Linked DNA regions of Oryzias latipes. The protein of the gene in region 2 purifies or fractionates together with the protein of the main gene of each other region. This does not show direct contact. Links are inferred from orthologs where the notes say so. Each region holds a gene or a part of one and is shown on either strand. Other genes may lie near its edges. The genes, in order: sdf2l1 and ptpro.

The links.
Region 1: the proteins of ptpro (region 2) and sdf2l1 purify together in Homo sapiens (affinity purification with mass spectrometry; 3 studies listed by BioGRID and IntAct, with this or other methods). This does not show direct contact. The link is inferred for Oryzias latipes from reciprocal best matches to the Homo sapiens genes PTPRO and SDF2L1.

The regions. Positions count from the first base shown.
Region 1 is NC_019867.2:30,356,051-30,360,632, forward strand, and holds sdf2l1 (stromal cell-derived factor 2-like protein 1), read left to right. Parts: upstream 1-1,482; 5' UTR 1,483-1,539; coding exon 1,540-1,723; intron 1,724-3,203; coding exon 3,204-3,400; intron 3,401-3,539; coding exon 3,540-3,818; 3' UTR 3,819-4,397; downstream 4,398-4,582. Other genes in the region: il-17n (interleukin-17N precursor), read right to left, coding at 4,572-4,582.
Region 2 is NC_019881.2:23,564,001-23,567,810, reverse strand, and holds part of ptpro (receptor-type tyrosine-protein phosphatase O), read right to left. Parts: intron 2,363-3,810; coding exon 2,281-2,362; intron 2,048-2,280; coding exon 1,957-2,047; intron 1,887-1,956; coding exon 1,810-1,886; intron 1,678-1,809; coding exon 1,543-1,677; intron 1,455-1,542; coding exon 1,332-1,454; intron 1,247-1,331; coding exon 1,092-1,246; intron 763-1,091; coding exon 627-762; intron 514-626; coding exon 409-513; 3' UTR 393-408; intron 1-392.

The DNA.
Region 1 (4,582 bases), on a different chromosome or scaffold from region 2:
ATATGTATTTACTTGATACAGGGACAGCACATATTAATAGACATTCCTGTCAATATGCCAGTTAGCCAAAGGGCTATTTTCCATCTGCAGTCCCTAGGTAGATGTTTAAAATCAAACATTGTAACATTTTTTACAAACATTATTGTAAATTTAGTCAAAGGAATTGTAAGGCATTGTAAATTTTAAAAATATTGTTCTGCTCTGCAGAAAATTTAACTCGAGGCATCCATCATACATAGCAAGACAAAACAGAACAATAATACAATTTCATTAGTTGTAAGTGACCAAACAGGACCCCAATAAGACACAGTAGACATGACGATTGCCTGAAGATATGTTACAGAAACTGACAGAGACAAATGTGGCCTGATTTTACTCGCAGCCTGTGCTGAAACACAACAGGAAATATGCTAAATGCTATTAAATAAGAAATTCATAGTCAGCCAAACCATTTTCTCATTGCTGAAATGCAGATATTAAAAAAGTTAACAGAAAAAAGTTCCAAAGAATTGGGTCTTGTCCCTATTGAATGGTGGAGAAAGCACTGAACTAATGCTTTTCTTTACAAAGACAAGAAATAGTTAATAGCTTATTGCACTGTATGTTATTTATTTCTGACAGTTTACAGGAGCCAGACTGGTCCAGAGGCTTGTCACCATGCAAAGATGATCCTGGTGCTGCTCCCCTCAGATGTAAACAAAACCAAGACCAGGAACAGTTTGGCCTTGGAGGAAACTTTATCATCGATAATGACATTTAAAACAGCAGGCCTTGAGCCGTGTTTCAAGTGGGAGCCATTTACTAGAATTCTCAACGCCTCATAAACCGCCAAAGGTCATTACTAGAGGGAACAGAGTTTTAAATTTGCCTTGTGTCTGGTCTTAGTATGTAGTTTAGTTTGTTCCTCATGTTTTTAAAGTGAATCATTGATTTTTGTTGCTCTTTCAATTTTCTTTTTTTTTACCTCGTGGTGCTTTATTTAAAGAATTACACTGTCACAAAACTACCCTAGACTGGTCTTAGGACTTGCTGACGTATAGAGACTTATTTTTCCTGAGTCTCACTCCAAGCTTTTATGAAAAGTTGGCAGCCCTGCATAAATGAATAACAGAAGAAAAATAAATGAAAGCATGATTAAAATCTTCGTAAACGCTAACAAATATTTTTGAAACAAACCATTCAAAAAGTATTCCTTGACAAATGTATAAATGAATGAATCAATCGATACAAACAAAAAATAAATATTCGATTGACTAATTTATTCTTTGAATTAATTATTTGATGAATAATGAATGTATCAATAATTAATGGATCAATGAGTGAGTGTGAAAAGAACAATTTAATGAATGAACGTTGAAAAGGGATCCTTCAGTCCTTCACTTCCTGTTTGTCACCAATGTTGTGACGGCACATCGGCGCGCAGTGACCAATCACGGGCGAGAACGAGCCCACGTGACAGGGACTTGGCACGTCGTGATTGGTGGAGTGCGGGAGGAAAGTCCCGCCTGCTGGTGCCGGTGTGTTTGAGTCAGGTCAGAGATGGATGCTGCTGTCGCTTTTCGCGGGATTGTTGCCTCGGTTCTGTCGGTTCTGCTGCTACTGAGCTCCGGCTGCGGCGCCAAAGAACCGGAACTCAACCACGTGACGTGCGGCTCCCTGGTGAAGCTGCTGAACACGCGCCATAACGTCCGGCTGCATTCACACGACGTCAAGTATGGTTCAGGTAAGAGACCGTCACCGTTCACTGAGGAGGTGCCGGTTCTGTTCAGAAACTGGACTTCTTTAAAGCGAAAGTACAGCAGTCAATCCAGAACCCAGCAGACCCGTTTCACATGTGGACTGAAAGGGCCGAACTACGGAGGTTCTGCTCACCCTGCGGAGGGTTTCTGCGTACAGGGGCGTCACAAGCCTCTCTGGGGGCTGGGGGGGCAAACAAGGGCCCCTTTAACAGGTGTTCACCACCTACAATTCATCATTTCAAATAATTTATGCAAAAAGTTAGTATCCTGTTTGAAAAACAAATCATTAAAATATGAACAAAACCAGAACAATAAGCATTACCAGAATAATAATGTAAATAAATGTGACAACAAATATTTATTATTGGGAGAGGGGGGGTAATCATTTGCCTGGATCACAGATGGGCATGTGGTGCCGCTGCCATTCCGGTTCTGGGGGTCTCTCGGATTTACTATGATTTTGAATACTTTGATTTAAAAAAAAAGGTTTTAAATTCCAAACAAGTAACAGTTAAATGACACAAACGTGCAAAATATTAAAGCTCATTAGTGTTTCTGCTGTGGTCTCATGGGGGTCATTTGGGGGTGCAGATAATTCATAATATAGGTGGACCACACAGGATTCAATGTATAAAGTTATGTTTGTACCTCTGGAGTAAAAACAAAAAGCAAAAATAAAATCTGAACTGTTGCTGCAGACTAACCAGTGGAACAGGAGCGCATGAGTGTGGCTGCTGCACTGCTGCCCCCTTCTGGTGAAATATGAAACTGCTTTTTGTTGGATGCATTTTATTTAAGCTCCGCCCAACAGTACTGGCAATCATATTTAATACTTACGTCCTACTATAACCGCGTTCCTAGTAGTCTTTTAATCAGGATTATGATGTTTTTTCAATCCATAATCAATACAAATGTGTCGTTTTCTAGGACATAACTCGCCCCCCCCCGTCTCTCACTGTTGCTGACGCTCTCTCCTGCTAGCTTACAGCCCTTCACAACCCCAAGCTAGCATTGGCGGTGCGAAAAAATGGCGATCAGTATCAGAGCCATCCAGGTGTGACGTTTTCAGCCTGATTCAAGCTCGGACCAGGAAAACAAAGAGCTTGTGGCCCCGCCCACTTACTTTCTGTCACAAATCTTTTTCCAGCTGCATCTTTTCGTCGGCTCCAGAATCACAAAGATTTTGATTGAAAAAATGTAGACACGCCTCCATTAGAACAAACCGAACCACTCCCCTCAGGTGCTGTTCACGCAACACAAAGACCATCCCTGAGTTCCTGTGAGGCGTTCATGAACCTCTGAGGGATTTTCCAACCCCACAGGTGGTCTTCCTGGTCCGGACCCTGATGGGTCTTTGATTCAGAGACTCTTTTGAGCAGAGACCTGCTTTATCTGGACCCCACAAGATAGCACAAGGGGTAATATTTTCATTGTTCACCTGTGCGTGTGTGTTTGTGTGTGCAGGCAGCGGGCAGCAGTCTGTAACCGGGGTGGAGACCGCCGAGGACGCCAACAGTTACTGGCAGATCCGGGGGAAACCGGACCGTCCGTGTCAGCGCGGGTCGCCCATCAAGTGCGGCCAGGCCGTCCGCATCACGCACATGAAGACGGGCCGGAACCTCCACTCCCATCATTTCAGTTCCCCGCTGTCCAACAACCAGGTAAGCGGCTCCCTTTGCTGAGGGGGAGGGGTCTAAACTGGTTCTGCTCGGGTTCTGGTGTCGGGCACAGTGGGGTGTTCCCGTGGTGCTGTTGTGGTCCGGATCAGCAGGTCACCGATCCGTGTCTCGCGTCCCGCAGGAGGTCAGCGCCTTTGGCGAGAACGGCCAGGGCGACGACCTGGACGTGTGGACGGTCCAGTGCGACGGCGTGCTGTGGGAGCGAGACGAGGCGGTGCGGTTCAAGCACGTGGGCACCGAGGTGTTCCTGAGCGTCACGGGCGAGCAGTACGGACACCCCATCCGAGGCCAGCGCGAGGTGCACGGCATGAGCTCCCCCACCCAGCACAGCTGGTGGCGCACCATGGAGGGGGTCTTCATCCAGCCCAGCATGGAGCCGCTGCGCCACGACGAGCTCTGACCTCAGCGCCAGGCGCCGCGCTCCCGGATGTAAATACAAACTGCTGACGCCACGCCTTCCTCGGCGTGGGGGGGTGGGGGTTATGGTAGGCGAATTTTGGTTGTTTTATGAACTTAAGGATGACGGAAGGAGCCGCCCCCGCTTCACATTGATTGCACCGTCCTGCAGGGGGCGCCACGCTGCCTCGCCGTCCTCGGCTGCTGTCTGTCAAACAGGCTTTTAGGGTCCCGTTTGCAGGTTTTTTGGATCATCAGAAGCAGTTCTGCGCCCCCCCTCAGTGACCCCTCCCGTGCAGCTCAGACTGCAGCAGCCGCTGGGCTCAGACTCCGCCTCCTCTCAACTCTCTGCTGACCTTTTTGAACTGAAGTGAAGATTTTTTTCTTTTTTTTGCATAAATGTTCACCCCCTTCAGCTCTCAGGCATAAAAACTACACTTCCCAGGATGCAACTTCCCACCCGTCACGGTTTGGTCGGTCTTACTGGTTCATTTCTGTTTGTCAGTAGATGTTGGCGTTTGTAGAATGAGGGTGGGGCTGTTTTTATTTCAGGGAGCAACAATAAATGTTTGTGTCAGTCATTTCTCATGAATGGTGTTTGTCTCTCCCCCCCCCCCCCCCCCCCCACACACACACACACACACAAACACCAGGCTCATCTGAGGATGTTGTCTTTAATGATTGGAACAGAAACTGAAACCCATTGAGAGGAAGGTCCGTGGATCAGAACTTGTGTGCAGTTCTGGTCCGGTCCGGCTCAGTTGTGCC
Region 2 (3,810 bases):
TCTGGCTGTGTTGGTGTGAGGTGAATTAGGGGGGCGGGTCCGACCCAAAGGCCCGTCCTGGTGTTGGCGGTCGGTTGGGTTGGAGACCATCTGCAGATCCACATCCACGTGACACCTGAGGCTACGGCACACAAGCCGACACCCCCTTCTGTGACTGACAGAAGGGGCTTCTGGGCGTGGCCTTGCTCTGGTTTATTGACATCATCATGACCACATGACCAAGATCCTGGAAAACGGTCACATGACCACACCTTTCTGACCTCTGAACAGCCAGGTAAGCTTCTCTGAGGCCCTGAAGGGTCAGGTAGCTCAGGTTTTAGATCAAGTTTGGACCAAGCAGGCACCGGTAGCTCCTGTGATGGAAGCGGGTGGGAGGGCGGGTGGGCACTCACGTCTACAGACGGCGCTCTATGTCTTGCTGGCGTTCTCGTAGATGACGTCCGAGGTGATGGACTGCTGCTTCTTCTTCTGCCACATGAGCAGGACGCACTGATGGATGAAGACGTACTGCTCCTGAACACAACACAGCGGCAGTGAGGCCCCGGGCTCCGCTACGGAAGCCCAGAGAGGACACACAGTAACAGCAGTGGCTGTGGGTCAGTGGTTTGCCGGGAATCGGCTCTGACCTCCGTCTGGACCATGGACAGCCGGTGGGACCTCATCTCAGACACCATCCCCAGGATGTCCACGAACTCGTGCTCCCTCATGTGCTGCATGAGGCGGTCCAGAGCGATGAAGGTCCCGGTGCGGCCCACCCCGGCGCTGAAACACAAACATGGGGGTTCTGCTCAAAGGTTCTGTCACGATCGTGAAATGTTTCGGATGAAATTCTTTCAGTCGCTCTGGGATGATTTCATTTTAAAGCTGGAAGAGTTATTTTTTTAAAACATTCAAGCATTCCCAAGCTCTTTCCAAAATAAAAGCATTTTAGCAAAATAAAAGCAGAGCTAAACAGAGATGAACTGAATCCGCTTGTTTGTGAAGCGTCAGGTCACGAACGGCGCCAAAGAAAACCCTCAGATTCTGATGGATTCAGTACGACCCTTAAAATCTGGTTCTGGTGAACGTCTGTCACCCCCCCCCCCCCTGACCTGCAGTGGACGATGATGGGGTCTTTGGTCCGGTTGGCCTGCTGCCGGACGATGTGGACAAACTGCAGGATGCTCTCGATGGCGTTGACGGTGGGAACGCCGTGATCCGGCCACGATGTGTAGTTCAGATGCAGGACGTCCTGCGTCTCGTCCGCCTGGGGGGAGGGGAGGGGGGGGGGGGGGGGTCAGAGGGGGTTCGGCCTCCTGCCGCGCTGCAGACCCGCAGGTGAACGGACTCACGTATTCCAGCCTGAACTTGCGGGTGATCCACTCCTGGGACTCGCTCTGGGACAGCATCTCCACGCTGATCTCGCCGTACATCACTGGCTCGTCCGTGAAGGGCCAGTAGTGATCGCACTTCACCTGCAGGACAGCGTGACGTTAGCATCCCCGTCTGAGCACCGGCTGGTCTTCATCTCCGTGTCTGAAGGTCATCGGTGCGAGCGCTCACCCGCCGCCGCTCGTTGCACTGAGTCAGCATGACGATGATGGGCGCTTTCTGCTGCAGAACCATCTTCCAGAAGTCGACGCGCGTCTCGGGCAGCGGCCCCTGGGTGGCGATGTACTCCCTGGAGTGTTTGTAGCCCTGAAGACCAAACGGCAGCTTCACTGAGAAGAACTTTGATCCAAGATCCTCAAAAAGTTCAAGCAGGTGTCAACAGCTCCACCTGGTGGAGAGCTAAGGGTCTGTGTGAGGGGCGGAGCTTTAGGGACTCACGGGGATGTAGTTGGCATTGATGTAGTCTGCACCTTCATCGTTGTGCAACGAGATCAGCTTCACCCGACTGAAGTCGTCTGGAAAAGAGGAGGTGATCAGACTCCCGACGAAAGAGAGCAGCAGCTCCTCCTCCAGAGGAGAACTCACAGGGCAGGATGTTGGTGTATCTGTTCTTGGGCCTGTTGACCGGGAGGTCCGCGGCGTCGTGGCTCAGGTCCAGACCGACGCTCTTCAGCTCCTGCAAACATCCACAGACTGAGGAATGCCGACTCAGCAGCACGTCCCAACATCCGAACATGCTGGTCGCTGAACCAGCTCATTGGATGACATCAGACATCATCTGTGATGTCATCGTGAAAGTGACAGAAAACTTTAGATTCTGCTTCTGATCTTGGAGCCCGTTAAAGGTGACCTTTGTGGGAGGAGCATCGTGTTCACTGAAACTGTCCAATCACAGCGGAGAGCTCTTACCTCAAACTGCAGGGAGAACTTGTAGGCGGAGTCTTTGCCCATGTCTTTAAAGTACGCCTCAAAGTCGTCCAACTGCACCGGGCTGGAAGCAGAAGGACAGATGTGACCTTCATGACCTCCAGGTGGAACTGAGAGAACGCCACCGTGTAGATCCTTCTAGGGAGGAGCAATCTCATCCAACACACAACATCTGACACACAACATCCCACCACTGACACCAACATCAGACACACAACATCCCACCTCTGACACACTACATCCAACATCAGTAACACAACATCCCACCACTGACACCAACATCCCACCATTGACACCAACATCAGACACACAACATCCCACCTCTGACACACAACATCCCACCTCTGACACACAACATCAGACACACAACATCCCACCTCTGACACCAACATCCCACCTCTGACACCAACATCCCACCACTGACACCAACATCAGACACACAACATCCCACCACTGACACCAACATCCCACCACTGACACCAACATCAGGCACACAACATCCCACCTCTGAAACCAACATCCCACCACTGACACCAACATCAGACACACAACATCCCACCTCTGACACACTACATCCAACATCAGACACACAACATCCCACCACTGACACCAACATCCCACCACTGACACCAACATCAGACACACAACATCCCACCTCTGACACCAACATCAGACACACAACATCCCACCTCTGACACCAACATCCCACCTCTGACACACTACATCCAACATCAGACACACAACATCCCACCACTGACACCAACATCCCACCACTGACACCAACATCAGACACACAACATCCCACCTCTGACACCAACATCCCACCTCTGACACACTACATCCAAAATCAGAGACACAACATCCCACCTCTGACACCAACATCCCACCACTGACACCAACATCAGTAACACAACATACCACCACTGACACCAACATCAGTAACACAACATCCCACCACTGACACCAACATCAGACACACAACATCCCACCTCTGACACCAACATCCCACCTCTGACACACTACATCCAAAATCAGAGACACAACATCCCACCTCTGAAACCAACATCCCACCACTGACACCAACATCAGACACACAACATCCCACCTCTGACACACTACATCCAACATCAGACACACAACATCCCACCACTGACACCAACATCCCACCACTGACACCAACATCAGACACACAACATCCCACCTCTGACACCAACATCCCACCTCTGACACACTACATCCAACATCAGACACACAACATCCCACCACTGACACCAACATCCCACCACTGACACCAACATCAGACACACAACATCCCCCCTCTGACACCAACATCCCACCTCTGACACACTACATCCAACATCAGACACACAACATCCCACCACTGACACCAACATCCCACCACTGACACCAACATCAGACACACAACATCCCACCTCTGACACCAACATCCCACCTCTGACACACTACATCCAACATCAGACACACAACATCCCACCACTGACACCAACATCC